Linked DNA regions of Astyanax mexicanus. The protein of the gene in region 1 purifies or fractionates together with the protein of each later gene. This does not show direct contact. Links are inferred from orthologs where the notes say so. Each region holds a gene or a part of one and is shown in the gene's direction. Other genes may lie near its edges.

Region 1 (16,911 bases):
CTTGTAATATTTGCACATTCCTAATATTTAAAAAAAAATGCACCATTCCGTCATCTCTATTTACAATGTTAGATCCAATTTACAGTATATAGTAGGAGGGCATATGAATAGACAATTTGTGTGTAAACGTACAATTGTTTTAGTTAGGCTGTAGGCTATGAAAGAGCTTTACTGTATGTGGTTCTGTCTGGCTACATTATTCTATATTGATATTGCAGCGGTGGACCTTCAGCGTTGTGGGATCTCTAATGAAGGAGCTAAAGTCCTTGAGAAGATGTTACAATCTAACTCTACTCTCTGTGTTCTGGACATCAGGAGGAATCCACTAGTAGGTCAGTCACACATTAACTGCAAAGTGCTCTAATATACAGCTCTGTAAAAAATCAAGAGACCCCTTCAGTTTCTGAATCAGTTTCTCTGATTTTGCTATTTATAGGTAAATGTTTGAGTAAAATGAACATTGTTGTTTTATTCTATAAATTACAGGAAACATTTTCCCAAATTCCAAATAAAAATACTAGAAATGGGACGATCGATCGGCAGTGTATCGGTATCAGAAGATTTTCAGCCAAAATACGGTATCGGCGATTGATATTCCTCTGATTTTAGCCGATCCGATTCAGGAGTTTAGGGTTAAGCAGTTTATCAGAGCTGTGTGTGGATTACCGGTGGAACTGCTCATTTACAAGAAGCTGCAGTTCCTCATCCAACCACTAGCCGGAGCTGCAGCAGCAGCACAAGCCCCGCTGTCTTCACTGAAGTCAGAGCTACAGCCCAGCCACGGGCTACAATGGTAGCTCAGCCAATCTGGAGCGTTTTTCAGTTTTCTTAATTTCATCTGTGTAGTAAATAATGGTTTTAATCCCACTAACCGGATAATACAGCTCTCTACAGTTCATCTTTCTGCCCAACCAGTGAGCTCACAAGCTAACAGCAGCATCTTAGTGCAGCCGTCACGGAGTCACTGCTTGTATTACATTATAAACAGGTCAGTTATTGCGCTTTACTGTGAGTTTAGTGGACACGGCCGCCAGTTTAGACTGTTGAAGGCTACTGAAGACTATTAAAACCTGTTGGAGGTTATTGAAAGGGTTATTGGGGGCAGAAATCAGTAAAGGCTGGTTAGATAAGTGATTAACGAAGGCCTTGTCCCTCGCTGTGGTGAAACTGTGACTAGCGCGGTCACAATGATGTTTATTAACCAAATTAAAACAGATTTCATTCTTTCCTACTATTTGTGAGTTTAGTTAAAAGCTCTGTTTTATTGCTGTTACGTTATTTACAAAACATATGGAGTTTAAATCAGGTCTGCGCTCTTAATTGCAGTTTATGAGGGCAGGCATAGTCAGACTGGATGTTTTTGCCCAATCTAAGCTCTAGCTGGAGCGATGGATTACTGTTGGTCTTATTAAAATATTGTATTATTATCTATATATTAACAGTAAATGAGATATTTTAAGCAGTAAGTTGACAAAACAGGCTGAGGCGGCTGATTTTGGGATACACACTCCTGTGGTATTGACATAAAAATTATAAAAATTCTGGTGTCTTGCAAATATTTACACATTACTTATATCTCTCCTGAAAAGCTTTTATTTTGGTCAGTAACACTCTTTTGTTTGTTTACTATCAGTGTAAATTACCAGTGTTTGCTTAGGCGTGGATGTAATTAGGGGAATCTGTTGCAGGTTTGCCTGGCACCTGTGTGGCATTTGGCCCCGCCCAAGATCGGTATCGGCGAGCGGCCGATCGAGGTAAAAGGCGATCGGAATCCGCCCCCAAAACACTGATCGGTCATCTCTAAAAAATAATGTTATTTAACCCATTTATTTGCAGAAAATGAGAAATGGCTAAAATAACAAAAAATATGCAGAGCTTTCAGACCTCAAATAATGCAAAGAAAAAAAGTTCAAATTCATAAAGTTTTAGGAGTTCAGAAATCATTATTTGGTGGAATCACCCTGGTTTTTAATTGGTTTTCATGCATCTTGGCATGTTCTCCTCCACCAGTCTTACACACTGCTTTTTGATAACATTATGCCACTCTACTAAGTTCAGCTTGGTTTGATGGCTTGTCATTATCCATCTTCCTCTTGGTTCTATCCCAGAGGTTTTCAATTTGTTAAAATCAAAGAAACTCATATTTTTTTTAAGTTATTAAAAAAAAAGTTATTTTTAAGTGTTTTTAAGTTATTTTTTTTCCAGAGCTGTATATGTAAAGAATGTCCACTTTGCTTAAACGCTCACCACTCTCACTGCTGATCGTTTTTCTCCTCAGATAAGGGGTTGGTGAAGGCTGTAATTAAGAAGGTGCTCATGAACACGAAAGGCCAGGATGCACAGGTAACACACTCACAGTATGTTTAAGAATATAATCAGGAAATGTTAAAGGAGTGACTTTGAATCTGGGCTTGTGTTTGCAGTATCTTTGGCTGAAGCCTCCAGCTAAGGATGCACATAACCATTCAGGACAGATGATAAGGAGAAACACAGGAAGGGCTTCCTTTAGAGCTGGTATGGCCACCCCTGAATTAATTGTACAGTTAGGAAAATAAGTATTTGAACACCCTGTGACTTTGCAAGTTCTCCCACTTATAAATCATGGAGGAGTCTGAAATTTAGTCTGCCTCTAAAAAGTCCACCTCCACTCCACTTATTATTCTAAATTAGAAGCACATGTTTGAGGTCATAAGCTGCATGAAGACACCTGTCCACCCCACACAATCAGTAAGACTCCAACTACTAACATGGCTGATTTAAAAATCATACATTCTGATTTCTGGATTTTTTTTTATTAAGTCTCTCACAAAGGACACGCACCAAACGTGAGCCCTTCATGATTTCACACCCCTCCATGATTTCTAAGTTGGAGAACTTGCAAAGTCGCAGGGTGTTCAAATACTTATTTTCCTCACTGTATGATATCACACATGATGTGCGACTGTGTAATAGATATTCTGAGTTTATATCAGCTCTATCTGTTAAAGGATCTCGCCGGACTTCATCAGTTACGTATGGATGGAGGCAACCTCGGCCTGGATCCACTGGTTATATCCCGTGGCGCACAGCAGCACGAGCCACACTTCAGAGGTTAGAGACACTGTGTACCTTTTATACCTATCCATCTTTCCATCTTTCTCTCTGTCTTCCTGTCTGTGCGATTTGTCTGTCTGTCGTTGTGTGATTTATCTGTTTCTTTGCTTGTCTGTTGCAATCACTATCAATAGTGTTTATTAAGTGTTCATTAATTTAAACATGTTTCTGTCTGATGTAGGGGTCTTCCACATGGTGCAATTACAGCAGATCAGAGTTTTCAGGTTTGTTTTTCTATTTTTTGCCTGAATATTTACATTTGTTTATGCTGGATAAAATATGCAATTTTTAAATATTTACTTCATGATCACTCCTTCAGAATGCCTCCACTATCCGAGTCACTCTGGAGTCAGAGAGCGAATCAGAGTCTGAGGAAAGAGAAGATGTGTTGCCAAGTGTGTGTGCACAGAGTCCTCAAGGAAATATAACCAGCAGGCAGTTCAGGCATCTGCAGGCAGAATTCAAGTGCCTAGAGGTAACATCTTAACTGTATATTAAATGTTTTTCTTTTTCTTCTTTTTTTTTTTTCTGTGTATGGTACAATAGCTCCCTCTCTTCCCCATTACTCAATGTGATGCTATACTATATTCTTGCCAGTTATGTTGCTTTATATTTCTTGTAATGCAAGAAATGATGCATTGACAGCTTAGTGTACCTTAACTAGTAGTTGGGAATTGGAAATGACTAAATTGTGGAGAAATATTGGAAAAACATTATTTTTCAATAAATATGCTTTGAAGAATGTGTTGAATGTGCAGTATGTTCAGTGTAGTTACTCGTGTAACCTACAGGTGGAGCTGCAGGAATGCAAACTCAGACTTGCGGAGGAGAGAAATACAATACTGAAAGCTAATTCTCGCTTGGTTGAGGTACAGTTAAATATCTACCTTAATATAAATATCTATCTTCATATAAATGAATATATACATTTCATGCATTGTTTTGTTCTCTCAGCTGGAGTTGGAGAATAGTCGTCTGCGCAGTCTGAATCAGTCACTGTCTGAAGCCCATATCAGCCACTCTGTTCTGGAAGATGAGCATGTGCTGGACAGCATTGAATCTTCTTTTCAGAAGTTCCATGCCTTTCTTGACCTTCTCAAAGATGCTGGGTATCATTTTCTTACATTTGCACACTGATAATTGCAGTTTTGGCTTAGTGTTTTTTAATATTAGTCTTAAATTAAGTTTTTTTACATGGTTAATATGTTTTATGATTATTCCCAGGCTTGGCCAGTTGGCATCCATGGCTGGTATTGAGCAGTCAGACTTTGGTTGTCCTCAGCTCTCCTCCACACAGCAAAGGGGCCAGAGAGACCAGGGCGATGTGCAGAGACAGGATGATGTTGCTGTAAGTGACATTTATTTCAGTGAGAACTAGAATTCTCCAGAAATACAGTTGTTGAGACTCTCATTAAGATTATATTTTTTTTTTTACTGCTGCTCTGCCTTTTTCTTACTGCACTGACTTTTTGTTATTATCAGTCTGTATTAAAAATAGCAAAACATCACCATCTTTTATTTTTTGTAAATTGTGTGTAGGTTTTGCGTTCATGCTAGAGACCTGCAGGACTCGTCAGAATGTCTTTGGGCGATGCGGGAGCGGGACCACATATACATGTAGAAAAATCCTGCAAATGAATAAATAGTCTAGAAAATTTATAACAATCATGCAATGATTTCCATGCATAACGAACAAAAGAAAAACAACTAATCAATCAGTAATAATAATAATAATTCAATTTTTTTTTTACATTTTTTAAATTACTGAATCAAACCCTTCATCCAGTGTACAGTCCTAAATCCACCTCTACTACAAGATTCTTCATCTGGCTGCAATGCGAGGAACAAAAGAAAACTGATAAATTTTAAAGCGGAGGATGGACCCACACACACACACACCGATGGGACAATATCAACTTCCCCAATTCACCTGACAGCATGTGTTTGGACTGTGGAAAGAAATGGGACAGTTCTATCCAGCGCTATATATATATATGTTTTAATAAACACATAAGTAAATTTCAAGCACTACATTTAATTAATTAAGTTCATTTTAGGAATAGAAATGTGTATGTGGCGGGCAGGCACAGAATGAAAACAAGCGATTATTGGTGGTAGCGGGCAGTAACGGGACTAAACATGCAGGAGCGGGCAGAAGCGGGCTTTAAAAAAGTAGTGCAGTGCAAACCTCTAGTTCATGTCTTTGTAATTTGTGCAGCATGTGGTTTTGCATTGCCTTGTTCGAAATGCCTGGACATCCCTGGGGAAGCAGTTGTCTTGAGCATATGTTGCTCTAAGATCTAAATCTACTTCTGCATTAATGCTGTGTCTCAGAAACCTCATGAGAGAACTTAATTACCATGAAAGATCTTGCTTACGTCATAACTTTCTGTATTTATTCCACAGAAAACAGACAACCCTGAAACAGCATCAAGACTTCAGATGAGCAGACCCTGCTCTAGAACTTCTGCTGCCTCCAAGCATTCTCCTCATGTTCAGTCACCACAGGAGCTTCCCTTCAACCCACCCATTCACTCCAGCACCCCTCCTGCTCCACTGAGCCAACCTGAGGTTGCACAGCAGCAATGGAGTTTCTCCCCACCCCAAACTAGTATTCACAGATTTTCTGGTTCTGAGAAAAGTCGGGACAGTGGAGGTTCCAAGGGAGGTTCAGGGAGTTCAGCAAGTAGCATACACACAAGCATACACAGCAGCAGAGTCTCCAATTCTTACAGAGACGACTTCTCTGACGGGAGGGTTTCTCCTGCTCTGAGCTCCAGATCTTCAACTGTCTCAAACGTTGAGAACCAGAGGAGTGCCACTGGGTTTGCTGGATTATAGAGCCCAGCTCCATTTGTAAAATGCATTTAGACTGTGAGCTTCAATGCTAAGTGCCATTGTTTACTGATGATCGCAGTTTTTAAAGAAATAAGAAATGTCAGAAAAACTTATTTTTCGCAATATAAGGCTTACCATTTTATAAGGCGCACTATCAATTAACTATTTTCTGGTCGATTTCCATACATAAGGCGCATTTAAACAGACTCTATGGAACTTCTAATTTAGCAGGTCAGGTAAAGCTAAGCTAAGTAAACAAAACTGTAACAAAAATACTTTCTTTTAAAGTGAAACGAGTGCTGGATGTTCACCTATACAGATTTCTCTCCTGAAAACTGTTTATTAGGCTGAGTATAGTGCTTTCGTTTACAGTAGGCTTAGATTCCCCAATTTCTCCAGCAATAAGGCTGCTAAGAAGCATTAGCAGCGAGCCACTAGCAGTTAGCGGCTACTGCCACCCAGGAACACTACACTGAGTCACCCTAAGTGCTCCAGTAAGCCAGGGCAATATTAGCTAGTGGTTCGTCCCACGTAGCTTGTTTTAACACAGTAAACACGCAGACCACAGTCCGATATACTTACCTCTGAATGACAAACGTTGTAGCGCAGTTAGCGGCTAATGCTAATGCTGCTCCAGGTACAGTCCGATAATACTCACCTATGAATGGGGAAATAGCGGCTAGCAGCTAATGCTAATACTACTCCAGCCTCGGTGCTGGAGAACTAAACTGAAACTCCTGTAATACACTGTACTTCAGCGGAGTGGCTTTACTGCTCCTTACAACCTGACTGGTAAAATTTATACATAAGACACACGGATTAAAAGGCGCACTGACCATTTTTGTGGAGAATTAAAGGAGATTTTAAGTGCGCTTTATAGTGCAAAAAAAATATGCTAGTTCTGTTGGCTATGCTGCTGTGTGCAATTTTAGAAGGAGTCTTCTGTTGAGCAGATGTATGTCTTTAGACATCTTTTAGTTGATGTTTAATAGTATGGCAAGTCTTTTTGGTCTTAAATGCCACCAGTAATACAAATGTAAAATTTATCTGTTTAATTCTCATATTTAGGGTTTCTGTAATGCAACCAAATTTTCTCCCCAATTTAGCTTAGCCAGTCAATGTACCCACCCACTACGACCTCCACTTATCACTTAAAATGTTTCTATGGCTGGGAGGGTCTGAACAAGTGCATGCCTCCTCTGATACACATGATGTCATCTACCACATCTTTTTTAACTGTTTCCAATGCAGCATTACTAGGCATTCAACTCTGAATGCTTTACAGAAAGCACTCTGATGCATTTTAACCACAGACCCCTGTATCGGCCACCATCACAATGGTGGTGATGATGAGGAGGAGGAGGAGGAGGAGGAGGAGGAGAGAGGGACCACCATCTACTAACCCAGAGAGAGCCGGGTCAATTGTGCTCACTTAGGTACCTGTAGAAACCTGTAAAGGATATTTTTATAGTCATATTGACAAGATCACATATCTTTAATTTCATATTGGCAAGGCATATCTATAAATTAAATCTCTTCGATTTTCATTTGCACTAGTAAATTGTTTTTTCGTGTGCCATTTTGGGCTAAAACTGTTTGCCAAACAAGTGTTAATTGTACTAATTGAAAAGCCATTTTAAAAGCCATTTTTTCAGTCTACACTTTTAACTGTGTAAAAAAGCAGACTGAACGTGTTTGAAATGTAATTTACATTTTCTGTATAACAGATTTTAAACGCAGGGTTTGTTTTATTTATTTTTTTATTGCTGTTTTTTAAGTGTGAAAAAAAATCGGTCACCCAGTTTGTATCCTTTATTAACTTTTCATAGACTGTGAAAATGAATTTCTTGTGAATAAATGGATAACAGATACAATATGTTGCTTGCTTTCTTAATTGAACAACATTTACATTGTAAGAAATGTCCACAGATTTAAAAAAAAATGATTCAATCAGAGAGGCTTGGTGTAAAATGAGGCTTTGAAAGAAAATAACAGACTTGTTTTTTTACTCAATCTTTTGGGTGACTTCAGTACTAATTTACAATGAATGGAAAAATATAAGAAAAAAAAACATTGAATAACAAGGTGTGTCCAAACTTTTTACTAGTACTGTATGCCAATCTAGTACCTGTATCCTCTTCCACAGACATGCTTTTACACATTACAGTGTGCGGCGTGTGGTTTTGCATTGTCTGGTTGAAAAATGTGTGGATGTCCAAATAAAAGATGTTGTTCTTGGTCAAGGGTCTTTCTGCATGAATAATAAATCAAAATACATCACTTGAAATTAAAAGTAAATTTAAATTAATTTAACAACATTTTCTGTGAGCAGCATGTGTGATTTTGAATCACAAAACTCCTACTAAATATTAACCATTTCATGCAATAGCTACTTTTCATGAGGTAGCTTATTTTTAATACTGTTCTTCCACAATATTATGAACAATTCCGAAAGTTTATCTAGTCAGAGCTAGCTGGCATATCACACTTTAAGCCCCTCTGAATAATTTTGTTTACAATCGTATAACTTGTTAACTTAGTTAAACAGCCAAACACCCTATATATTTCAGAGGGGCTCCCGGGCACCGACGTGGCTGGAAAAAAGTATTCTGCTGTAAACAACTGTATGTATAAAAACTATAAAATAAGACACATTAATACTTTAAAAGTAAGAAGTACATGCGCTAGAACCTCAATAAAGCGGGTAACATTTTTCAAGGTGTAATTTTAGTAGCAAAGTTCATATAAGATAATACTACAGATATCTTATATTAGCAATACATATTTCAAACATTACACATGTATCTACCCAACTTAGTGAGTGTGGTGAGACTAGACAACCCCAATAAACAAACCAGTCTGGACAGAATAATGTGGCTTTATATAAACGGTATGGCAATTCATTAGATCAGCTGAACTCAGTCTATTGCACGGAGTGGAAAACGGAGAGAAATCACGAAATAACGTGGACACTCTTTTTACAACAGAAGTAAAAAGTCGCCGACCCAAAGAAACAGAGAAACGAGCGCAAACGCAAACAAATGAATCCTATCCGCCCTTACGCCATTCCTCCAAATCAGCAGCGCCCCCTCGCGGCGGCTTGTTCGCGTGAATGGAGTGGTGCATTTGTGTGTGGATCAGGTGCAGGAATGCAAAAGGAAAGTCTCAAACGCCAAAATACGCGAGAGGAAATGAACAAAAAAACAAACGTGATCCACAAACTGCAGATGCACACTTTATAAATACATTTTAAGTTTGAAAATATGCAAGTACATGTAAAAGAAATGCATTCAGTTTTACATGCAAATTATGATTTATACATAAAAACTAGAAAAGTGTATTTATGAGTTTGACAGTATTTGTACCAATTGCAGGTCGTGAGACACAGACTGAAATGTATTTATTTGTGAGCAGTGAAATGTATTTGTGGTGTCTGTGTAATTAATGGATTATTTTTTTACACATTTGTCAGGAGTTTTGAGACTAATCTCTATCCATAAAATTGCACCGATTCGGCGGAATAGCAGGTAAATAATTGTCCTGGAATAAATGAACATGACGTCTCAGAGTCAAATACAGAAAGCTAAATCAGCATTGGCTGCTTTCTGTGGCGCCTGTGTTCTTTCAGCCAATCAGAGCGGCCGGTATTAGATGTGCCCGTTTGCCTGCAGATGCTTTCTGGTGCACAACTTGCGTCTCTGAGCCGGTAAGATTTAATCCATGTATTAAAAACAGACATATATTCCTGCAGGGAATATCAACATGCTGCAGAAACCGGCTTTTTAACACTGAGAGGGGAGGAAGAGAGCGTTATATGGGTTAGCTAAGCTAGCGTTAGTTAACCGTAGCTAGCGGAACGTTAGTAAGAGTGAATGGGACTGTAAACAAAGAGTGTCGCTGTGGGAGTTAATAGCTAGCTGGGTTAGCTAACCAGCTAACCGCTAATAACAATACTTTTATATCGTTATATAGGTTATTTTAGCGTTTTTAATAAATTGCACTAGTTGACACTGACTACAGGAGCTTCGCTATATTATTAGGTAAGGTAGCTAACAGTAAATACTGTTTGAAGCCAGTGTGTTCAGTAAAAAGCTAGTTATGAAGATGACACTGACAGCCAAACTATAGCTTAACCAACGTTAGCCGTTAGCTGATATATTTTAATTTTTACTACAGTGGTGCTCAAAAGTGTCTTAACCCCTTAGAATGTTCTATATTTCTGCATAATTTTGACCTAAAACCTCAGCCAAACCTCACACAAGTCATAGAACAAGTGGCGAGGCGACCCAGGCGACCCAGAAAAAAACTAACAAACGAGCGAGGTATAAACATTAGACCAGCAAACAAACATGAGTGGCAAAATAATGTGCCAGTTTAGGATTAGCATTTTAATTGGGATGACACTCATGTGTGATTGTGCAGTACCCTCTTTTATGTAAAACAAACAAACAAAAAAGCAGGGATATTTTAAAGTCTGATCCTTATCGTAGCACAAAAGGTTACAAAGCCATCTCTAAAGAGTTTGGACAGACTGTGTGAAAACTGAAGGAAATTTAAGACAAGTAACTTTTGTTCTAAGCAAGGCCTTTTCACATTTGCTAATGTTAATGTTCACGAGTCCACGTTAAGGAGAACGATAAATACCAATTTTGTGTGCATAAAAGGAATAATGTCTTGTGTATGGATGAGATAAAAATAGAACTTTTTGGTTTAAACGAGAAGTATAGGTCATTTTTTGTCTGTTCTTGTGTTCTTGTGACTCGTAAAGCATCATCAGATGCAGCCCAAGTACTATTCCATTTAGAAGATCACAGTTAGCCAAGTACACAACAAATACCTGGATGGGTTTTTGCTCTGCCCACGTTATTGAGGATGCATGGAAGGTGACTTGTGTGAACTTCTTACAGTCCTATTACCCACAATATACCTCGCAGCCGGTGCGGCAAATCTGAAACCAGAAACATTTTGTTGCAGTTTTTGGTGCACAAGGAATGTCACACCAGATCCTGAAAGCGTCAAATACTTTTGCCGTTTACCGAAATGTAAAATTGGATTAGATTGGAAGGGGCTCACAAACCATTTAAAGCTACCTACTGTGTTTTTCCTTAGAAATGTTTAATTATTAGTTTGCATTTAAAATGATCTGTCTTGGTTCTGTGAGCTCTGTGGGTCATTTAGGTTCAGCGTAACACTAGATTGCTGATATTGTTAAAGAATATAATAGCAGCTAGAGTTTAGGTAGCCTTTTTAATGTGATAAAGATTGCTAATCCTGTCTTCTGATTCTTGTCATCTTTTTACAGAACCTAATAATTAGTCAGTGGTGATGGTTAACACATAACAAGCCATGGTAAGATTGAATCTGTGTCTTTTAACTGACAATCTTGTTCTCCATAGAAAGATATGGAAGTCCATGCTTTTTGCAACATAATATCTTTTAGACATATAGAAATATTTCTATTTTGGTGACTTCTCCTCAAATGTCTTACTTTTTGCTAAACATTGTGCAGAATAATAAAAAAAAGTTGTTATATATGGTTTATTTATTTATTTATTTTTTTATCTTATTTTGACCGCAACCCATTTCAAGCACATGGTGAACTAACATTGTAAATTACAATTTATGCAACATCATAAAATCTAAGAGTGCCTATATACATGCGTAAATTATGAAATATATAGATGTAGTATAGTAAGGAAAACTCAGTTGTGTTACAAATATGAAAAATCGACATAAGACCTTAAGAGCTTAAGTAAATCATTTCAATATTAAAGTACATTTAATGGCAAATACTTTACATTTAAGTAGAAATACAAAACTAAGGACTTTCACTCGAGTTCATGGTTTGGTTGCTTTTTTTTTTTCATTAAAATGTTTATTAAATTATTTGCTAACTTCATTTCTTTCACAGATCCGGATAGCTGCTCTTAATGCAGCCTCTCAGACTGCAGATGAACATGAGGATCACTTTCGAAGCGCTAAACCCAGTCAGACCAAGGAGGCTCAGGTAAGTTTTGCTTTCTGTAATCTTGATTAACTTTGTGATGTCACTGAAAGTTTCTTTCTATTAAAATTGTCTCCCCTCTGTCAATTTCCATCCCCTGTTCTTCACTGTTCTGCAGGAGGCAGAGGCATTTGCCCTGTACCACAAAGCTCTTGACCTACAGAAGCATGACAAGTTTGAGGAGTCGGCCAGAGCTTACCATGTGCTTCTTAAGACACCGCTGCTTAGGGAGGTAAAAATGTGACTCTTGCTGTTTGTGAAATTAGATGAGGCTGTTTTGCTGATATTTTTGTAATTAACAATATGTCTGTTATTCTGGATTTGTTTCAGGCGGTGGCGTCGGAAGATGAGAAGGTCGGGCTCAAACACCCGGGGTTAATGCTGAAATATTCCACCTACAAAAACCTGGCCAGTCTTGCTGTGCTTAGGGATGACCTGGACACTGCCATGGACTTCTATGTGGAGGTGAAATCTAACAAACTGATCACAAGTATTATGGATTGTGGATGGATTTATATAGCTCTGAAAAAAAAATGACTTAATTTTTTTTTTTTTTTTTACCAAATTAAAAAACCTCTGGAACCATCAAGAGGAAGATGGATGATCACAAACCATCAAACCAAGCTGAACTGCTTGAATTTTTACACCAGGAGTTGCATAAAGTTATCCAAAAGCAGTGTAAAAGACTGGTGGAGGAGAACATGCCAAGATTGTTTTCTTTGCATTATTTGAGGTCTAAAAGCTCTGCATATTTTTTGTTATTTCACCCATTTCTCATTTTCTGCAAATAAATGCTCTAAATGACTATTTTTGTTTGGAATTTGGGCGAAGTGTTGTCCATAGGTTCTGGAATGAAACAATGATGTTCATTTTATTTAAACATATACCTATAAACAGCAAAATCAGAGAAACCAATCCAGAAACTGAAGTGGTCTCTTAATTTTTTTTTCCAGAGCTGTAGATTAAGATGTATCCTATGCATTATAACAGGTCTGTCTAGCTCTGGTAGTCTAGAGAACCTTAGTTTTACAGTTTTCAGTTACAGCTTTCTTGCCAGGTCTTGAGTAGCTTCAGCCATTCTAGAGTAGCGGATGTTAAAACTGCTTAGCCCATAAATCAGATCAATAAAACATTACACAGTTACAAACTACACACTAGCTTCTGTTGGACGAGGGGAGCGCCAATGGTCCAGCTGTCTAAATCTTTTCCACTATGATGAGGAATTTTGTGGTTTGAATCCCAGTTATGTAGCTTGCCATCAGCTGCCGAAGATTAGTTGTACATGGGAAGGTGAAGGTATTAGTGAGAAGATATTATTATTGGTCACCCTTAGTTTATTTTAGATTATTTTAGTCCCGTTCAAATGCCCCATGTCATTTTTTTTTGTCAGACTGCACGCTTCTGCATCTTTAAAGATTCTGGCACCAATTATCTTCTGTAAAACGAGCCGTAAAAATAATCTCAGGGTATATTAAATGTACAAATCTAAATGTTGATAAATAAAATGTCATAAAATACTGTGGAAAATAAGGTTTTGTAGCTTTTCAAAGCTACAAAAGAGTAAGAGTTGTGTGCTTTAGTTTAAAAGAACGCAGAACATTTGTTCTCCTGATCGTGTTTGTTCATGTTTATTTTCTGCAGGCTGTTATGCTGGACTCTACAGATGTGAACATGTGGTATAAGCTGGGTCAGGTGGCTCTGAGGAGAGTCAGTATCCCATTAGCTCGTCATGCCTTCGAGGTGGGACTGCGCTGTAATCCTGACCACTGGCCGTGCCTCGACAGCCTCATCACCGTCCTCTACACACTCAGCGACTATAGCTGTAATTACTTTACCAGTTTGTTCACAAGTGCTTTGTTGTGCTTCTAGTGCTAAGCTCAAGCCTTATCAAAAATTAACTCCATCAGTGGAGTTAGCAAATGGAATACGGGGCTGATGCAATTGCTGATAATTCAAGTGGCTCATTGATTTACTACACTGACCTAGTGTTGGGCAGTATGACCAACAATGTATATTTTGTTATTTTAAAAGATTCCGAATGTTTCACAGTATATCATGGTATTTATTATTATGATTATTATTTTTATTATTATTATTATTTATTTATATTTTATTGCATGTCTGAGCTTAAATATAGGTTTGTGACTTATAATATCAAACATTATGGCTTAGATTTAAGGCTTTTATTTTTACTGGGTTTACTTTGTCCCACAAAATTACACAATATATTAAGAAATCTGACTTCATTATCAGGAACAGCTGAAGAATATTAACATTAGACTTTTAACAGGCTTCCTTTACAAAACTAAACATTTTAAATAGTTCCAAAAACATCATAAATTATCCTAAAATAAGCTATGTTTAAGTATTTTAAAGATATTTCTCAAAAGCTCTATTTTACAAGTTTAATATCAGACACAAGTTTAATATCAATTTACAATGTTATTCCTGAAGCCATTAGAGGAATTACAGTATTAAAATCAGCCAAAATTCACCTTTTTTTTCTCCAAATTAAATTCAGTGTGCATTAATATTATCCATCAAGCTACAGTATTTATATATTTAAAGAAGACTATAGTTATTTCCTTGTATTCAGTGTTTTAGGGAATCTTATCACGTTTACTAAATAAATGACCGATTCTGGGCTTGTCTGGGGCATTCTCCAGTGGACCGTTTGAACCGGTATACCACCCAGCAATACTTTTGTCTAAAGGTGAAGTATTAATGGAAATAATTTTACCTAGATAATAATAGTAATAGATGAGCTATTTGTACATTTATTTATAAGCTATTTATAGTATTTTATGATACTATTATTTGTCTGTTGTTTTTATCTTTATATCCACTTGAGTTTTTGACATTGCCATGCTAGCTAACTAGCTACAGCTGCCATCCAAATCAAATAAGCATGCATGATTTGATTCACTTATTCAGATTACTGATTCAGTTTTACAGGCTGTATATAGCATTGAAAGCATCGAATGCAACAGGATTTAAAACGATTTTGAAATTGTAGTATTGAAAAGCATTGAACTTTCGATGCTTTGTGAAACTCCAGATTGTATATAATGTTCTTTGCTTCTTTGTGTCATTTTTTTTTCACAGGCTGCCTGTACCACATCTGCAAGGCTCTGGAGAAGGACATAGGCTATACTAAAGGTCGGGTCCTGAAGGAGAAGATCTTTGAGGAGCAGCCTTGCCTCAGACGAGACTCCATGAAAATGTTCTCAAAAATGTACGCCTGCTCAACATTCCTCTTCACTTGCTTCACTAAACATTTGTGGTCTGCAGACATTAATCGAGTCTAATTATCACAGCCCTGCTGTATTCAGTCTGTGAAACTGGCCGTTAAAGATTTAAATGGGGGATCTTGTCTTGATTTGATGTTTCATGCTGTCTACAGTGATATGATGGGATATCAAGGTGAGATTGATGAGGAGGAAGCTCACAGCATTGTGGAGGAGGCTCTGGAACTGAGGAGACAAAGACAAGCCAAGCTGACCCCACATCACCGGCCAGACCTTCAGTTGGTGGAGCCCATCAAGCGCTTTACGTGAGTCCGTCATGCGGCTAAATCCTTGCTCCTGTTATGTTAATCTTTAATAAGGAGCAACATCAAATTCATTCTGTTACAACTGATGTTTTTGCTAAGCAGTTTTATGTAAATACAGTAATTTAGTATATGAAAAAAGGACGCAAACACATAGAACAGATGTGTAAACCACCTGTGAGCAAGTGGCAAGATTAAAATCCTTTAAACTATGCGGAAAAAAAATCTCACAATGGGGAAACCTATCCTCCTCTGGTGAAAACTGTTTATAAAATATATATGCGTAAGACATATTATCATATTATACATATTATTCAAATGATAAATTCAGTGTACCACTTCACAGTCTGTGATTTTGCTCAGGTGTACTGGTAATAGCGAATATCAAAAAAATATTTATAGTTATTAATAGTTATAATACTAATGATGATGATTATGATAAAATAAATATAGTAATAATAAAGTTAACAATTTAATCAATTTTAAAATTAATAATGTTAAAGCTACAGACTTGTCTTCCCCCATACATCCAACGAGAAGTCCACAGACAATAAACAAACGGTGGTAAAAAAAAAAAGTAAAACTTACTTTAAAATGCTGCTCACACAGCCACTAATAAAATTTAGTTTCTGTTTGTTCCCTGAAAGTCTCATCCAGTTGGATGATGTAGTCCTGATGTCACACCAATTTTCTAAAAAAAATTCAGATTTCTTTTTATTTTTTTTTATTTATTTTTTTTTTTAAGTCTATGCATAATTTCTTAATTGCTTTCAAATATGCTTGTCTGGAAATTATTTGAAATTTAATTTGCCCTTAATTATTTGCTATTTTTATTCTATTTTATTTATTCTTTCAGATTTTTTAATTCCCACTTTTTAGCAGGAATGTTTCTCGTGAAGTTGTCTGTAGAGCAAGCCTTTATTTGACTCTTATTTTGCCATAATTTGACCCCACACTCATCATTTGACAGACAAATTAAATAAGTGTAATGGGCGTTTAAACAAAAAAAATCTAAACACTTTTGCCTAGCAGAAAAAAATATTATGTGCTCCAGAAATATACAATATTTATCCTGTAAAATTCTGAACAGGAGAGTCACATGCATTTTAACATCGTTATTGATTTGTTTGCATGACTGCACATCTAAAGAAGACAATCCAATCAAATGGTCAGTTAATGTCTGACACATTTTCTAATTATATGTTCTTGCTCTGTTTCCTACTAGCTGGAAAAGTGTGGGGGACAGTTTCTTGGCCATGTATAAACACCAGAACGAGTGCTTGGTTCCCCGACCCGACTTTGGACGAAGAATCGACCTGTCCATGTACAAGGACCCAGACTGCCTTGCCCAGACACTTCCTACCACCACGACCACCACCACCACCACCATGCCAGCTGCTGATACTCTATCCACTGCTCCGCTTCC
Region 2 (15,968 bases), on another chromosome or scaffold:
TTGAATTATATGTTCAACCCTTTAATATAAGTGCCCATATATGGCCATATATAAGTTTTCTGTGTAAACAGAATACTATCCGCTTCTATTGTAAAGTGATTTTACTTTCTATGGATTCTGCTGCCCTCTGCTGCCACGCAGTGAGTAGTGAATCTTACTACAATTTAATCATTTAGCTCTTTTCTATCAATTAGCCTTTAAATTCAAGTATTTAATGAGTTAATTTAATGTGTTAGTAATGAATGAATGAAATTGCAATAAAGCTTTTAAATAAAAGAATATAAACTTTTTATCAAAACTGTAGTGATTTAATATAGGTTATTGTGAATTTTTATAGACCAACCATTATTTGAAAGAGGCAAATATTGGATTACACAAAATATTGATTATATTTATATTCAGCAAGCTAAAGATAATATTACTAGATAAAACTACTATTTTTATATACTTTTTGTAATTTTTAAACATGGTTATACATATGTCAGTTTGACCTGGAATCAGTAGTAGGGGTTGGATATATTAATATTATAAAAATGAATAAATGTTCACACTGAAAATGTAATGATTGTTTTATAAATTCATTTATTATATATGCACATATATATATATATATATATATATATATATATATATATATATATATATATATATATATATATATTGTATATATGTACAACTCTTTAATATGTGTGTCCATATATGGCCATATATATGTTTATATACTGTCCGTGATATTATCTTGCTATTTTGCCCAGAATATCGATGATATCCCAATTTTGTGATTCTGTGATTATATCCCAATTTTGTGATTCTGTGATTATATCACAAGAAATCACAAATTTGCTAAATAAGCAAATACAAGAAATTATGTGTTTATTCGTTATCCTGTTTCTTAGGGTACAACGTTAGGTCTAACTGGCTTTGAGCTCACAAGACTTTGTTTGTTTGTTTGTTTATTTGTTTGTTTGTTTTCTTCAGTAGAAACTAGTGATGGGTTCGGCAACGCTGATGCGTCGGCACATGCGCAGAGCTCCTAGAGCAAACCCCGCATCGGTGCGCATATCGGTTTCAGCAGGTCACATGACCCATACAGGAACTGTTTCGAAAGGACACCAACGCGCCAAATTGTTCTACTAACATTTTAAGTGTGCGTCTTAAACATTCTCTAAACAGTCATATAGGCAATATTATATTATATATTATTTCTTAATACTGGCAGCAGATTCTGCCAAAATAGGTTTAAATGCTATAAGAATATCCCACCAATCTCTATCATACTTCTTCTGCATCTTCTGATATGGTGCTTTTAACTTCATCACAAAATGTCCCACCTACAGTCATATTTAAACAAGGTTTACATTTAAAGCATCAGCCTTTAAGATTTTGTTCTCTTAAATGGAAAACAGTAGTGTTTTTGAGTGAGTGCTTCTGCTACAATTCCTGCAAAGCCACATATATTCATTATAAAAGCAGGGTGTCTGATAGGTCCCAGTAAAATACGAGGCTGAAGTTGGCGTCTTATTCGCCAGTGTCTTATTCGGATTTTCCGGTCCACCTTAAAAAGTCGAAGTACCAATTATTCGCCAGTAGAGAGCAGGGTTGAGCCGAGCAAAACGAGTTTGGCATTTAGGGCATATTACACTGAGAATACATTGCCTGTTCTGGGTATTTCCAGTTGCCCGAACTCCAGATTATCAAATAGTCTGTTGAATTTGACACCACATTATGAAAATATAACTAGTATACTGTGAATAGCCTAAAGAACTTAACATTTAATGTACAGTTTTTTTTATTATGAGCCTCTGAACTTGGCATTTGAGAAGATTAAAGGAGAATAAATTGCCTGTTCTGCATATTTCTAGATGCCCTAAATCCACATATTCAAATAGTCTGTTAAATTTGACACAAATTATGAAAATTTACATATTAAACTGTGAAAATCTTTAATAACTACAAAGATTACTGTACAGTTTATTATTATGACCCTCTGAACATGGCATTTCAGAATATGTCAGTAGAATAAATTGCCTGTTCTGCATATTTCCAGTTACCCTAATTCCAGATTGTCAAATAGTCTGTTGAATTCAACACCACATTATGAAAATATACCTATTAAACTGTGAATAGCCTAAATAACAAAACATATTACTGTACAGTTGTTTTATAATGAGCCTCTGAACTTGGCATTTGAGAAGATTAAAGAAGAATAAATTGCCTGTTCTGCATATTTCCAGATGCCCTAAATCCAGATTCTCAAATAGTCTGTTGAATCAGACACCACATTATGAAAATATACCTATTAGACTGTGAATAACCTAAAGAGCTAAAAATATTACTGTACAGTTTTTTTATTATGACCCTGTGAACTTGGCATTTGAGAAGATTAAAGAAGAATAAATTGCCTGTTCTGCATGTTTCCAGATGCCCTAAATCCAGATTCTCAAATAGTCTGTTGAATCAGACACCACATTATGAAAATATACCTATTAGACTGTGATTAGCCTAAAGAGCTAAAAATATTACTGTACAGTTTTTTTTATTATGACCCTGTGAACTTGGCATTTGAGAAGATTAAAGAAGAATAAATTGCCTGTTCTGCATATTTCCAGATGCCCTAAATCCAGATTCTCAAATAGTCTGTTAAATTTGACACAAAATCATGAAAACATACCTATTACACTGTGATGAGCCCAAAGAGCTAAAAATATTACTGTACAGTTTTCTTTATTATGACCCTGTGAACTTGGCATTTGAGAAGATTAAAGAAGAATAAATTGCCTGTTCTGCATATTTCCAGATGCCCTAAATCCAGATTCTCAAATAGTCTGTTAAATTTGACACAAAATTATGAAACTATACCTATTAAACTGTGAACAGCCTTTATAACAAAAAAAAATACTGTACAGTTTTTTTATAATGAGCCTCTGAACTTGGCATTTGAGAAGATGTCAGGAGAATAAATTGCCTGTTCTGCATATTTCCAGTTACCCTAATTCCAGATTCTCAAATAGTCTGTTAAATTTGACACAAAATCATGAAAACATACCTATTACACTGTGATGAGCCCAAAGAGCTAAAAATATTACTGTACAGTTTTTTTATTATGACCCTGTGAACTTGGCATTTGAGAAGATTAAAGAAGAATAAATTGCCTGTTCTGCATGTTTACAGATGCCCTAAATACAGATTCTCAAATAGTCTGTTGAATCAGACACCACATTATGAAAATATACCTATTAGACTGTGATTAGCCTAAAGAGCTAAAAATATTACTGTACAGTTTTTTTTATAATGAGCCTCTGAACTTGGCATTTGAGAAGATTAAAGAAGAATAAATTGCCTGTTCTGCATATTTCCAGATGCCCTAAATCCAGATTCTCAAATAGTCTGTTGAATCAGACACAAAATCATGAAAACATACCTATTACACTGTGATGAGCCCAAAGAGCTAAAAATATTACTGTACAGTTTTTGTATTATGACCCTGTGAACTTGGCATTTGAGAAGATTAAAGAAGAATAAATAGCCTGTTCTGCATATTTCCAGATGCCCTAAATCCAGATTCTCAAATAGTCTGTTGAATCAGACACCACATTATGAAAATATACCTATTAGACTGTGATTAGCCTAAAGAGCTAAAAATATTACTGTACAGTTTTTTTATTATGACCCTGTGAACTTGGCATTTGAGAAGATTAAAGAAGAATAAATTGCCTGTTCTGCATATTTCCAGATGCCCTAAATCCAGATTCTCAAATAGTCTGTTAAATTTGACACAAAATCATGAAAACATACCTATTACACTGTGATGAGCCCAAAGAGCTAAAAATATTACTGTACAGTTTTTTTATTATGACCCTGTGAACTTGGCATTTGAGAAGATTAAAGAAGAATAAATTGCCTGTTCTGCATGTTTACAGATGCCCTAAATCCAGATTCTCAAATAGTCTGTTGAATCAGACACCACATTATGAAAATATACCTATTAAACTGTGAATAGCCTAAATGACAAAAAATATTACTGTACAGTTTTTTTTATAATGAGCCTCTGAACTTGGCATTTGAGAAGATTAAAGAAGAATAAATTGCCTGTTCTGCATATTTCCACATGCCCTAAATCCAGATTCTCAAATAGTCTGTTGAATCAGACACCACATTATGAAAATATACCTATTAGACTGTGATTAGCCTAAAGAGCTAAAATATTACTGTACAGTTTTTTTATTATGACCCTGTGAACTTGGCATTTGAGAAGATTAAAGAAGAATAAATTGCCTGTTCTGCATATTTCCAGATGCCCTAAATCCAGATTCTCAAATAGTCTGTTAAATTTGACACAAAATCATGAAAACATACCTATTACACTGTGATGAGCCCACAGAGCTAAAAATATTACTGTACAGTTCTTTTATTATGACCCTGTGGATTTAGGGCATCTGGAAATATGCAGAACAGGCAATTTATTCTTCTTTAATCTTCTCAAATGCCAAGTTCAGAGGCTCATTATAAAAAAAACTGTACAGTAATATTTTTTGTTATTTAGGCTATTCACAGTTTAATAGGTATATTTTCATAATGTGGTGTCTGATTCAACAGACTATTTGAGAATCTGGATTTAGGGCATCTGGAAATATGCAGAACAGGCAATTTATTCTTCTTTAATCTTCTCAAATGCCAAGTTCAGAGGGTCATAATAAAAAAACTGTACAGTAATATTTCTAGTTATTTAGGCTCCTCACAGTCTAATAGGTATATTTTCATAATGTGGTGTCTGATTCAACAGACTATTTGAGAATCTGGATTTAGGGCATCTGTAAACATGCAGAACAGGCAATTTATTCTTCTTTAATCTTCTCAAATGCCAAGTTCACAGGGTCATAATAAAAAAACTGTACAGTAATATTTTTAGCTCTTTGGGCTCATCACAGTGTAATAGGTATGTTTTCATGATTTTGTGTCAAATTTAACAGACTATTTGACAATCTGGAATTAGGGTAACTGGAAATATGCAGAACAGGCAATTTATTCTCCTGACATCTTCTCAAATGCCAAGTTCAGAGGCTCATTATAAAAAAAAGTGTACAGTATTTTTTTTTTGTTATAAAGGCTGTTCACAGTTTAATAGGTATAGTTTCATAATTTTGTGTCAAATTTAACAGACTATTTGAGAATCTGGATTTAGGTCATCTGGAAATATGCAGAACAGGCAATTTATTCTCCTTTAATCTTCTCAAATGCCAAGTTCACAGGGTCATAATAAAAAAACTGTACAGTAATATTTTAGCTCTTTGGGCTCATCACAGTGTAATAGGTATGTTTTCATGATTTTGTGTCAAATTTAACAGACTATTTGAGAATCTGGATTTAGGGCATCTGGAAATATGCAGAACAGGCTATTTATTCTTCTTTAATCTTCTCAAATGCCAAGTTCACAGGGTCATAATACAAAAACTGTACAGTAATATTTTTAGCTCTTTAGGCTAATCACAGTCTAATAGGTATATTTTCATAATGTGGTGTCTGATTCAACAGACTATTTGAGAATCTGGATTTAGGGCATCTGGAAATATGCAGAACAGGCAATTTATTCTTCTTTAATCTTCTCAAATGCCAAGTTCAGAGGCTCATTATAAAAAAAACTGTACAGTAATATTTTAGCTCTTTAGGCTAATCACAGTCTAATAGGTATATTTTCATAATGTGGTGTCTGATTCAACAGACTATTTGAGAATCTGTATTTAGGGCATCTGTAAACATGCAGAACAGGCAATTTATTCTTCTTTAATCTTCTCAAATGCCAAGTTCACAGGGTCATAATAAAAAAACTGTACAGTAATATTTTTAGCTCTTTGGGCTCATCACAGTGTAATAGGTATGTTTTCATGATTTTGTGTCAAATTTAACAGACTATTTGACAATCTGGAATTAGGGTAACTGGAAATATGCAGAACAGGCAATTTATTCTCCTGACATCTTCTCAAATGCCAAGTTCAGAGGCTCATTATAAAAAAAAACTGTACAGTATTTTTTTTTGTTATAAAGGCTGTTCACAGTTTAATAGGTATAGTTTCATAATTTTGTGTCAAATTTAACAGACTATTTGAGAATCTGGATTTAGGGCATCTGGAAATATGCAGAACAGGCAATTTATTCTTCTTTAATCTTCTCAAATGCCAAGTTCACAGGGTCATAATAAAAAAACTGTACAGTAATATTTTTAGCTCTTTGGGCTCATCACAGTCTAATAGGTATATTTTCATAATGTGGTGTCTGATTCAACAGACTATTTGAGAATCTGGATTTAGGGCATCTGTAAACATGCAGAACAGGCAATTTATTCTTCTTTAATCTTCTCAAATGCCAAGTTCACAGGGTCATAATAAAAAAACTGTACAGTAATATGTTTTGTTATTTAGGCTATTCACAGTTTAATAGGTATATTTTCATAATGTGGTGTTGATTTCAACAGACTATTTGACAATCTGGAATTAGGGTAACTGGAAATATGAAGAACAGGTAATTTATTCTACTGACATATTCTGAAATGCCAAGTTCAGAGGGTCATAATAATAAACTGTACAGTAATCTTTGTAATTATTAAAGATTTTCACAGTTTAATATGTAAATTTTCATAATTTGTCTCAAATTTAACAGACTATTTGAATATGTGGATTTAGGGCATCTAGAAATATGCAGAACAGGCAATTTATTCTCCTTTAATCTTCTCAAATGCCAAGTTCAGAGGCTCATAATAAAAAAAAACTGTACATTAAATGTTAAGTTCTTTAGGCTATTCACAGTATACTAGTTATATTTTCATAATGTGGTGTCAAATTCAACAGACTATTTGATAATCTGGAGTTCGGGCAACTGGAAATACCCAGAACAGGCAATGTATTCTCAGTGTAATATGCCCTAAATGCCAAACTCGTTTTGCTCGGCTCAACCCTGCTCTCTACTGGCGAATAATTGGTACTTCGACTTTTTAAGGTGGACCGGAAAATCCGAATAAGACACTGGCGAATAAGACGCCAACTTCAGCCTCGTCAGTAAAATAGCACTCATTCTGAACAGAGACTGCAGCACAATGCTTGTTTAAAAAAAAAAAAAAAAAAAAAAAAAAAACTTTATAGCATGCTCTGTGCAATTACACATTCTCACCAAAAACTTAACTTACAGACTTTTGGAATTTAAATATATACCCTGGTAAAGTAATGAAAGAAAGATGATGGGCCTCCAGCAACAAGGACAGCGCCCTCTGCAGTACAGAGGAACCTGCAGAAAATTAACAGGCAGCCATCTTTATTGCAGAGGGATATTATTTCAGTCCCTTGTGTTTTATCTAGATTGGAATAAAATATATATACATGCTCAGTTTCACTGTCAAATTTGCCACATTTTAAAATCCCAGAGAAATTTATTTTTAAAAAATTAAAACTTTTTTTATCAGATGTATTTTTAGGATGCTGTCTTGAGATCAAATGTCTATCCAAACAAGTATTATTAGAATCATTGTTTTATAGGCTAAAAATAGTAATGATTAACATGTGTCAAATTAGTAGTAAAACTAGCAGGTAAAATCTTTATCTGACCCATTTTGGAATGGTTGTAGGGCAAAGCATTTATATTTTAAAAACAAATATCAACATAAATCAACTTATTTGTATATAAGTGCATTGGTTAATGTAATTCTCACTGTTCTCGTGCATTGCCTGAACACACACAAAAAAAAAATAGCTTTAAGAGCTCATGGTTGAGCCGACCAACTGCCGCCAACGTCTTCACAGGAGTTTTGTTCTTCTGACTGTGCTGCACAAGTCACAATCAGTTTTTGTTCAATATTATAAAAAAAGAATCAGGACAATGTTAGAAAAAAAAAACAATTTACAATAGGCTTATGTATTAAGCCTACATAAATTAGTAGACTACAGAGTGAAATAGTGAACTACTGAGACTACTACTACTTAAAACTTTTATGAAAAATGTGTTCTACCTATTCTAAAAATTTCTTGCATTATAATTTGAAAGGGTCCCTTCTTTTTTGTCATGTAGTGTGAAAGGTAATTAGGTAATTATTAGGCTAATTTTAGAAAGAAATTAAGTCACAATAACGTGTATATTATCTCTGTCTGTGTTCATCTGTAACTCCGCTCCTGTGTTCGTCCGTGTCTTTACCTTAACTATTGTCACCTGTATTCATTCGTAGCTCCGCCCACCTAATTCCCCAGGTGTTACCGGTTCCCTTTCCCGCCTTGTGTGTGTATTTAAGCTCCTTTTTGTGGTCAGTGTTGGTTTGTCGGTTCTTGTGCGTGTATACGTCTGTCTCGGCTGCGGTTTGTTCTGTTCGATTCGTGATTCAGTTTGTACTCAGTTTCTGTTTATTTGCTTTCTGTTTAATAAAGATTACTTGCGTGTGCGTCCGCTCTCCTCGTCCGTCCTTTGCTGCAGCGTGACACTGTACATATTTTTTTAAAAATAAATCACTTAAATACATCGTTTCAGTAGTTCACACGTTGGAGTTTATGATATATCTAGTGGCTATTCCAGTGTAAATGGTTTTAGATTAATTGGGAAAGTGCTTAAGAAAGTGTTTCCTCTATACTATTAATTTTATTCTGATATTGGACTTTTGGATCAGATTGCTTATCTATGTTTTAAAAACGGTCTCTGAGCAAAAGGTTAAAGATTAAAGTGATAGTTAAACTATTGTTACTTTTTAATGCTTTATGCCAAACTGTTTAAAAACAAATACTTGTGTCAAGAAATAGAAATCTGCATGAACATTTGCAAATAACTTTTTTTTTTTTTTTTTTTTTTTTTTTTTATAATTGTCTCACTTCTTTTTCTTGGTGGTTTTCATGAACAATAGGTTTCTGACTGTATTGACACAATAAGTGTATTAAAAAAAAGCTTGTTAAGGGGGGCGCGCGCTGATGACGCCTTGTTAGGTGGGCTTGGTGGGCGGGATGACCGACCTGATCCTGTCCAATCAGGCTGCGGGGATGCTGCGAGCGCTGATGATGATGCTGATGATGATGATGCTGATGATGATGCTGGGCTGTGTTGCTGCTACTGCTGCTGTTGAGGAATTCTGGGCTCTGCTCTCAGCTCAGCTGTCATTTCAGAAAGCTGAGGTTTGAGATGGTGGATCAGCTTCAGTCTCGCTAAACCTGCGTCCCGATTCTCATCCGACGCTCAGCCGACGTCGAGACGATGCTCGGTCCGCTGATGCGTCTCTGAACGAAACGAGGCCTGGATCGCCCTAATCCGGGTTCATCCTCAAACAGAGATGCTGAACGAGGAGCTGAGCATCAGACGACCGTCTGAGGAGGTCGACCACCCATCAGCTCGTGTCTAGGGGGGGCATGCACTGAAGCTCCAGCTTCTCGCTTTGTTTTTCAGGCTGTTTCTCCTCCTTCCAGAGCGGAATAATGCGCCAGCATGCCTCTGAGGAACCTCCTCTCCACACCGGCTAAAGCGACACCTCGGCCGCTCGCTATTGGCTTTCCAATCACTTAAGTTGGCGCACCTGTGCACGCGCGGGGAAACGACGACAGGTGCAAATGGCCACGCCGCGAAGGATCCAGCTCACGACTCTCTCGAGCGAGGTCGTTCCCCCGTCCCTCCCCAACAGCCATGCCGCCCCAGACGTGCCCCCTACCCAGCAGGCGGCAGATCCGCCGCCCCCCGAGACCACCGACCCGGTTCCATCCGCGAGAATTCAGCTGGTCCTGTTTGAGCCGGATGAGCGGCGCTGCCCGGAGTTCTACTACCCCGAGCTGATCAAAGGACAGGTAAGTTACAACTCACGAGAGGGCACGTGCCTGTTCAACACTCTCATAAATACCTGTACACAACTGTCACTGGTGTGATACACACTAAAAAACAGAGGTACAATAAAAGTTTACATAATTGTTACATATTGGTGTAATATTGGTCTTTACAGGCTCAGATATGTTTCCTAATAGCCGGAAGAACAGATTTGTACCATTTTACCAGCCAAAAGCGTACATTCTGTATTCTGTATCACTTTACAAATAAACAATGCAAATTGTAATTATACATTTTTATTTGAAAGCCAGACAATTTTGGATCATCAAGACACACATTCAGTTGATGATGTTTATAATCTTTATAATCTTTACTGGTACAAAAAAAAACATGGGTACAAAAAAGACTTTTAATGAAGAGTAATTTATTGTACCTCAATATTAGGTACAGCACCAGCAACAAGCTTTATACTCTTAAGTACAATCTGTACTTATTTTTCCTAGTGTGTACCTAACTCTCTTTTAGTCAATGGTGTGGCAGCTTACCCACTTCTAGTCACTGATGTGTTGCCCTCTTCTAGTCACTGGTGTGTTACCCTCTTCTGGTCACTGGTGTGTTATGGTGTGTTACCCTCTTCTAGTCACTGGTGTGTTCGCTTACCCTTCTAGTCACTAGTATGATACCCTGTTCTAGTCACTAGTGTGTTACCCTCTTCTAGTCACTGGTGTGTTATGATGTGATACCCTCTTTTAGTCACTGGTGTGGTAGCTTACTGTTCTGGTCACTGGTGTGTTACCCTCTTCTAATCACTGGTGTGATCTCTTACCCTTTTAGGTAACTTTAAGAAGTATAATTCAAACAACAGCTGTTATTTAACCAGTTAAACCAGTTGAAATGAATCAGGGTAAATAGGCAGCACTGCAGACATGGCAAAAATATCCACCCCCCTATAAAATAACACTGTATTAAATGTATAAAAAGTTATTTGAAGTAATGATTGACATTCCTCTAAATCTGTAATAATGTTTAGAGTAATTATGGAAAAGAGGTCGTTTACTCAACACGAGTCATGCTGTGAGCAAAAGGTTATTAAATATAATTTCACTGGTGTTTTACTGCTCTTTACACTGGTATTACCCGTCACAAATATATTTTATTCATATAGCATTTTTATAACTGATGAACCATAACTGTAAGCAGTATAGAGAATCAAATAAAACACAACATAGAACAAGAAGCCCCAGTGAGCGACAGAGGCAATAAAAATCTCCCTCAGAGCTGGAGGAGAAACAAACCTTGGGACACATGATGTTTGTTTGTTTGTTTGTTTGTCTGTTTGTATGTTTGTTTGTTTTAACAGTAGTTAACAGGGCCACACCAGTACCAGGCCAGACTGCACTGGATTAGACCAGTGTGTTTTTAGCTGCAAGTGGAAGTGGTGGGTGGAACCCACTTTGATGCTATTTATAAATGTGTTAAATCAGAACTGATTCAGAGGGAGGAGAGGTAGAGAGAAGAAGAGACTCCACTGAGAAGTGTCTGTCTGTCTGTGTCCCTCTTGCTCTTGTTCCCTCTCTCTCTCTCTCTCTCTCTCTCTCTGTCTGTCTGTCTGTCTCTGTCTCTGTGTCTATGTCTGTCACTGTTTTCATTTTCCATTATACCAGAAACAGGTTATATCTACTCAGTAATTATTATTACATTTTTGGATATACAGAGTGAGAGTAAATGCTGGTGAAAAAAAATCTGTATTTCTTTTAAATTGCAATATATATTGAAAAAAACAATATCCAGCCCTATAATGTAGTTTATAATGCTGTTTGTTTTTATAAAACGCACGTCTTTCTGAATGTACTTGTGCACAAAAATGGTTCTATTTATGGTCTATAAATGGTTCTACTTTCCATTCCAGTCAGTAAAGTTCTAATGAGATTCCATAGGAGCTCTTTGTCAATGCTGATTGATACATCAGTTGGTTTGTAATTATGATTGTAACTAATCCTGTCCATAGTATGTCTAAGATGTGAAACAGTTTTCAGTTCTGCTGTAGAAATAAATAGAAAACGTTTTTATAAATGTATAATTTTATAAAAGTATTTTATGTTTCTGTAATTTCGAGGTTCCTAAAGGACCAAAAGCAGTTCTGATGTGGCATCACTCAAAGAAGCATTTGTGTGTTTTTTTCTTTTTTTTTTTTTTAAGAGTAGATCATGGCACAGATAGAATTCCATTCTGGCTTCTCTTCTTTCCTCTTTTGAAGATCACAAATGGAAGCAATAGGAAAACTCTGGAAGAGCAGATTGAAGAGAAGGAGAGGGATGAGATGGAGGCCCTGTCCAAAAAGTTTGAGGAGAAATATGTAAGTTGTAGGAATGCAACAAAATTAGCATTTGTGGCTGAATACCAAACATGTTTTTCACAGGTTTTCATTAAATCTGCCACATTTTTCACTATTTAATAAATGACATAGCTTTTGTGTATTTCCTCATGCGTTCCAAAGAAAAAGCAATTACAAAACTATGATTGTATCATTGAACACTAAATATTTTTAACATCCAAGCAGACAAACCATCCAAGCGCAATACATTTACCTCAGCAGTGCTGTTTTAATCTCAAATTAAGCTAGCCAGCCACCTCAGCAGTGCAGCATCATTCATGATTTTACCTTTAGTCCTTAGTGCTACCTCATGAAAATGTTAGAGGAAAGACTGCAATATAAATTCAAATAAATTAACATTAACATTTTTTGATTTTTAAAGCTAGGTAAAACTCACAGGAATGCACGTGCCTGTTTAGCAGTCTCATAAATACTCACTGTGGTTTTACCCTTCTAGTCACTAGTGTAGTAGTACCCTTATAGTCACTAAGATGTTAGCCTACCTCTTTTTTAAGAAGTGTAATACGACAAAGTTGTTTCACATAATCAAGTTAATCGAAACAGGGAATTTATGGTACAGCACATAAACAAAAATACTGGGAACACCCGCTCCGTTGTTTTTTCTTCTTTCTTTTTCGACTAGAATATTGTGTAACCCTTTAGACATAATGATATGAGTTTGATCATGCTAAAACACATGTATTTTCTATTGTTTGTTTTAGGTCTCTTGTTTCATATGTGGATTTATTACCTAATTAATTTCTACATTATGGTGATGGTATGAACTGTATGGAATGTATTGATATCTGGTAATACTATTATTTTCTAGGGTGGTGCTCCTAAACGACGGAAAGACAGATTACAGGATCTGGTGGACATGGGCTTTGGATATGATGAAACAGACTCCTTCATCGACAACTCTGAAGCGGTGAGTTTTGGAACAGGGCAGAGTTTCCCCCCCACACACAAGCTATAACAATAATCTGCTGAGGTTTAAATCTCTGATTTATCTTAATCAACACAGGATCAAAGTCATACATCCAGCCTGTGATTCCAACGTCATTCCTTTTTTTAGATTTTAGATTTTAATGGTCAGTTACTTTTCTTCTTTCTGGATCACAGAAGGTTTTGTTGCAGTATGTTCGGAATGAGTTCAGATATTCTGTTAATTTTTTCACAGTGTGAACTGGTTTGCAAAACATTATTTTCTTAACCTTTTAAATTTTTTAAACCTGTTTTATTCTTGTATAATGTTTGAAGTATGATGAGCTGGTTCCGGCCTGTCTTACAACCAAACATGGAGGGTTTTACATAAATTCTGGGACGCTCCAGTTCCGCCAGGCGTCAGAAGAGGGTGAAGAAAATGAGACGGATGACTTTGAGAAGAACGTTAAGCCTAAGGTGTGTCTTATGTGACTTAAGGTTGTTTAACTCATTTGCCTGAACATGTAGGAATTTCCAGGCATAAATATTGTGTGGCCTAAATTCTTAAGTTTCTAGGAATATCTAGTTCTTAACATCTAATTGTTGAACTGTAAGGCTGTGGAATATCTGAAGCGTTTACAACTCTTCCTGTTACTGAGCCAAGCTTAAAATGAGCCAAGTGTAAAATTGTAAAAGAGTCAAATTGTCCAGAACTGTTTATGTGTAATATATTCATATATTAACACACACTATATGAATAGCATTAAATCAGTAAGTGTCATTGTTCATTACTATAACAAAAAAACAAAAAAAAAAACTGGTTGGTTTGATCCACAACATTAAAGTATCATTAACTACATGTGATAATATTTAAGAAGCCCAAACTAAATTTTATCATTCTGTTAAAAAACATGACTTCCCTAAATGTTGTTTGGAAAAAACAAACGTGCTTCTCTAAAGCTATCATAAATTCATAAAGTCATTACAAAGTAAATTACAATAGCTTTTATTAACACATTACAGAACATGTATTAAAGACACTGATGGATCTTAAATTGCTATTTTCAACATTTAGGCACCCCAAACCTTGAGGGCTCTGCATTATGCTCATCTTATCTTTATAATAATCGACAACATTGCCAAAAAAAAGGAAAAAAATTGTTAACATAGAATTGTATTGTTGATGCGTGATTAATGTGTGATGAAGTGGACAACAGGGGTAATGAGCTCACTTCCTCATTGATTGATTACATTGTATATCATGACATGGTAAAATTTTAAGTAATAAATAAGTTCTGTTAATATGTACATCCAATTGAAATAATAATAATACTTACACATAATAACATTACACAACAAGTGGTGACAGACAATCAACATAGTACGAGAACAGACAGCAGGGATAAGTGGTATAGTACATTAAACAGAGGGAAGGCCGTAGGCAAGAGAAAAGAGGTGAGTCTTGAGTGTAGATTTGAACAAGGAAAGAGAGGAGGATTGTTTGACCACAGATGGGAGAGAATTCCATAGTTGAGGAGCAAGTCTGGAAAAAGCCCGATCACCAAAGCCACGGAGTTTAGAGGCTGGGACTTTAAGAAGTCCAGCAGTAGCAGACCTAAGGGATCGAGATGGTCTGTAAGGAAGAAGGAGGTTTGACAGATAAGGAGGTGCAAGATTATTTAATGCCTTATAGGTAAGTAAGAGAATCTTGAATTGAATCCTGTATTTAACAGGGAGCCAGTGAAGATTTTGGAGAACAGGTGTAATGTGTTCATGGGTGCGAGTGTGAGTGAGTAAACGGGCAGCTGCGTTTTGTACCATCTGGAGTTTATGGATAGAGGAAGAACTAATGCCAGCAAGCAAGGAGTTACAGTAATCTAGTCTGCTGGAAATAAAAGCATGAAGGAGTATTTCAGCAGTGGACTGAGTAAGGGATCGTCGAATTTTAGCTATTCTGCGCAGATGAAAGAATGCAGTTTTCACCACAGAGTTGATGTGAGCTGTAAAAGAGAGAGTGGAATCTAGAAGAACGCCCAAATTTCGGACTTGGGTAGAGGGAGAGATTACTGTACCGCCAAAGTTGAGAGAGAGAGTAGGAGTTTGATTGAGGACTGCTTTAGTGCTGATTAGGATGAGCTCGGTCTTATTACTGTTTAGCATGAGAAAATTGTCCTTCATCCAGTTCTGGATCGCAGAGAGACAGCTTTCTAAATGAGTAGTGGGTGGGTTATTGATAGAACTAGTGCTAAGATAAATTTGGGTGTCGTCCGCATAACAGTGGAAGTCTAGGTTAAAGTGACGCAACAGAGGCCCAAGAGGAAGGATATAGATGATGAACAGGAGAGGTCCAAGGACTGATCCTTGTGGTACTCCGTGTTTAATCACAGAGGTATGGGAGGAATAGCCAGCCAATGAAATAAATTGTTTTCTGTCAGTTAGGTAAGATGAGAACCAGTCCAGGGCAGTGCCAACGATGCCAAGTTCACAGAGTCGAGATAGAAGGATAGAGTGGTTAATTGTGTCAAATGCAGCACTTAAATCTAGTAGCAAAAGAATGTTTAGAGCACCAGCATCAGCAGCTACCAGTAAATCGTTAATAACCTTGACCAATGCCGTTTCAGTACTGTGGAAGGGTCGGAAACCAGATTGAAAGGGTTCAAATAGGTTTTGTGATTCAAGATAATGTTGCAATTGGCAGGCCACAGTTCTTTCAAGGACTTTAGACAGGAAGGGGAGATTGGAAATAGGGCGATAGTTGTTGAGGTCAGAAGGGTCGAGACCAGGTTTCTTTAGTATAGGAGTGACTGCAGCCGTTTTGTAAACAGATGGAACCTGACCAAGGAGAAGTGATTGATTGATGAGAACAGTGAGGTGGGGGAGCAAGGCAGGTACGCAGGCT

Evidence for each region.
Region 2: the proteins of cabin1 (region 1) and ubn1 purify together in Homo sapiens (affinity purification with western blotting; 6 studies listed by BioGRID, with this or other methods). This does not show direct contact. The link is inferred for Astyanax mexicanus from reciprocal best matches to the Homo sapiens genes CABIN1 and UBN1.

What each region holds. Positions count from the first base shown.
Region 1 is NC_064419.1:22,919,208-22,936,118, forward strand, and holds the start of cabin1 (calcineurin-binding protein cabin-1), read left to right. Parts: upstream 1-9,552; 5' UTR 9,553-9,637; intron 9,638-9,712; exon of another isoform or gene 9,713-9,971; intron 9,972-11,233; 5' UTR 11,234-11,277; coding exon 11,278-11,280; intron 11,281-11,842; coding exon 11,843-11,938; intron 11,939-12,053; coding exon 12,054-12,167; intron 12,168-12,265; coding exon 12,266-12,400; intron 12,401-13,576; coding exon 13,577-13,757; intron 13,758-15,040; coding exon 15,041-15,170; intron 15,171-15,338; coding exon 15,339-15,488; intron 15,489-16,710; coding exon 16,711-16,911. Other genes in the region: cep78 (centrosomal protein of 78 kDa), read left to right, coding at 219-332, 1,689-1,754, 2,279-2,343, 2,424-2,514, 2,988-3,090, 3,275-3,317, 3,413-3,568, 3,885-3,962 and 3 more. UniProt on the Homo sapiens protein: May be required for replication-independent chromatin assembly. May serve as a negative regulator of T-cell receptor (TCR) signaling via inhibition of calcineurin. Inhibition of activated calcineurin is dependent on both PKC and calcium signals.
Region 2 is NC_064428.1:15,991,041-16,007,008, forward strand, and holds the start of ubn1 (ubinuclein-1), read left to right. Parts: upstream 1-9,031; 5' UTR 9,032-9,563; coding exon 9,564-9,794; intron 9,795-12,028; coding exon 12,029-12,127; intron 12,128-12,974; coding exon 12,975-13,073; intron 13,074-13,405; coding exon 13,406-13,546; intron 13,547-15,968. UniProt on the Homo sapiens protein: Acts as a novel regulator of senescence. Involved in the formation of senescence-associated heterochromatin foci (SAHF), which represses expression of proliferation-promoting genes. Binds to proliferation-promoting genes.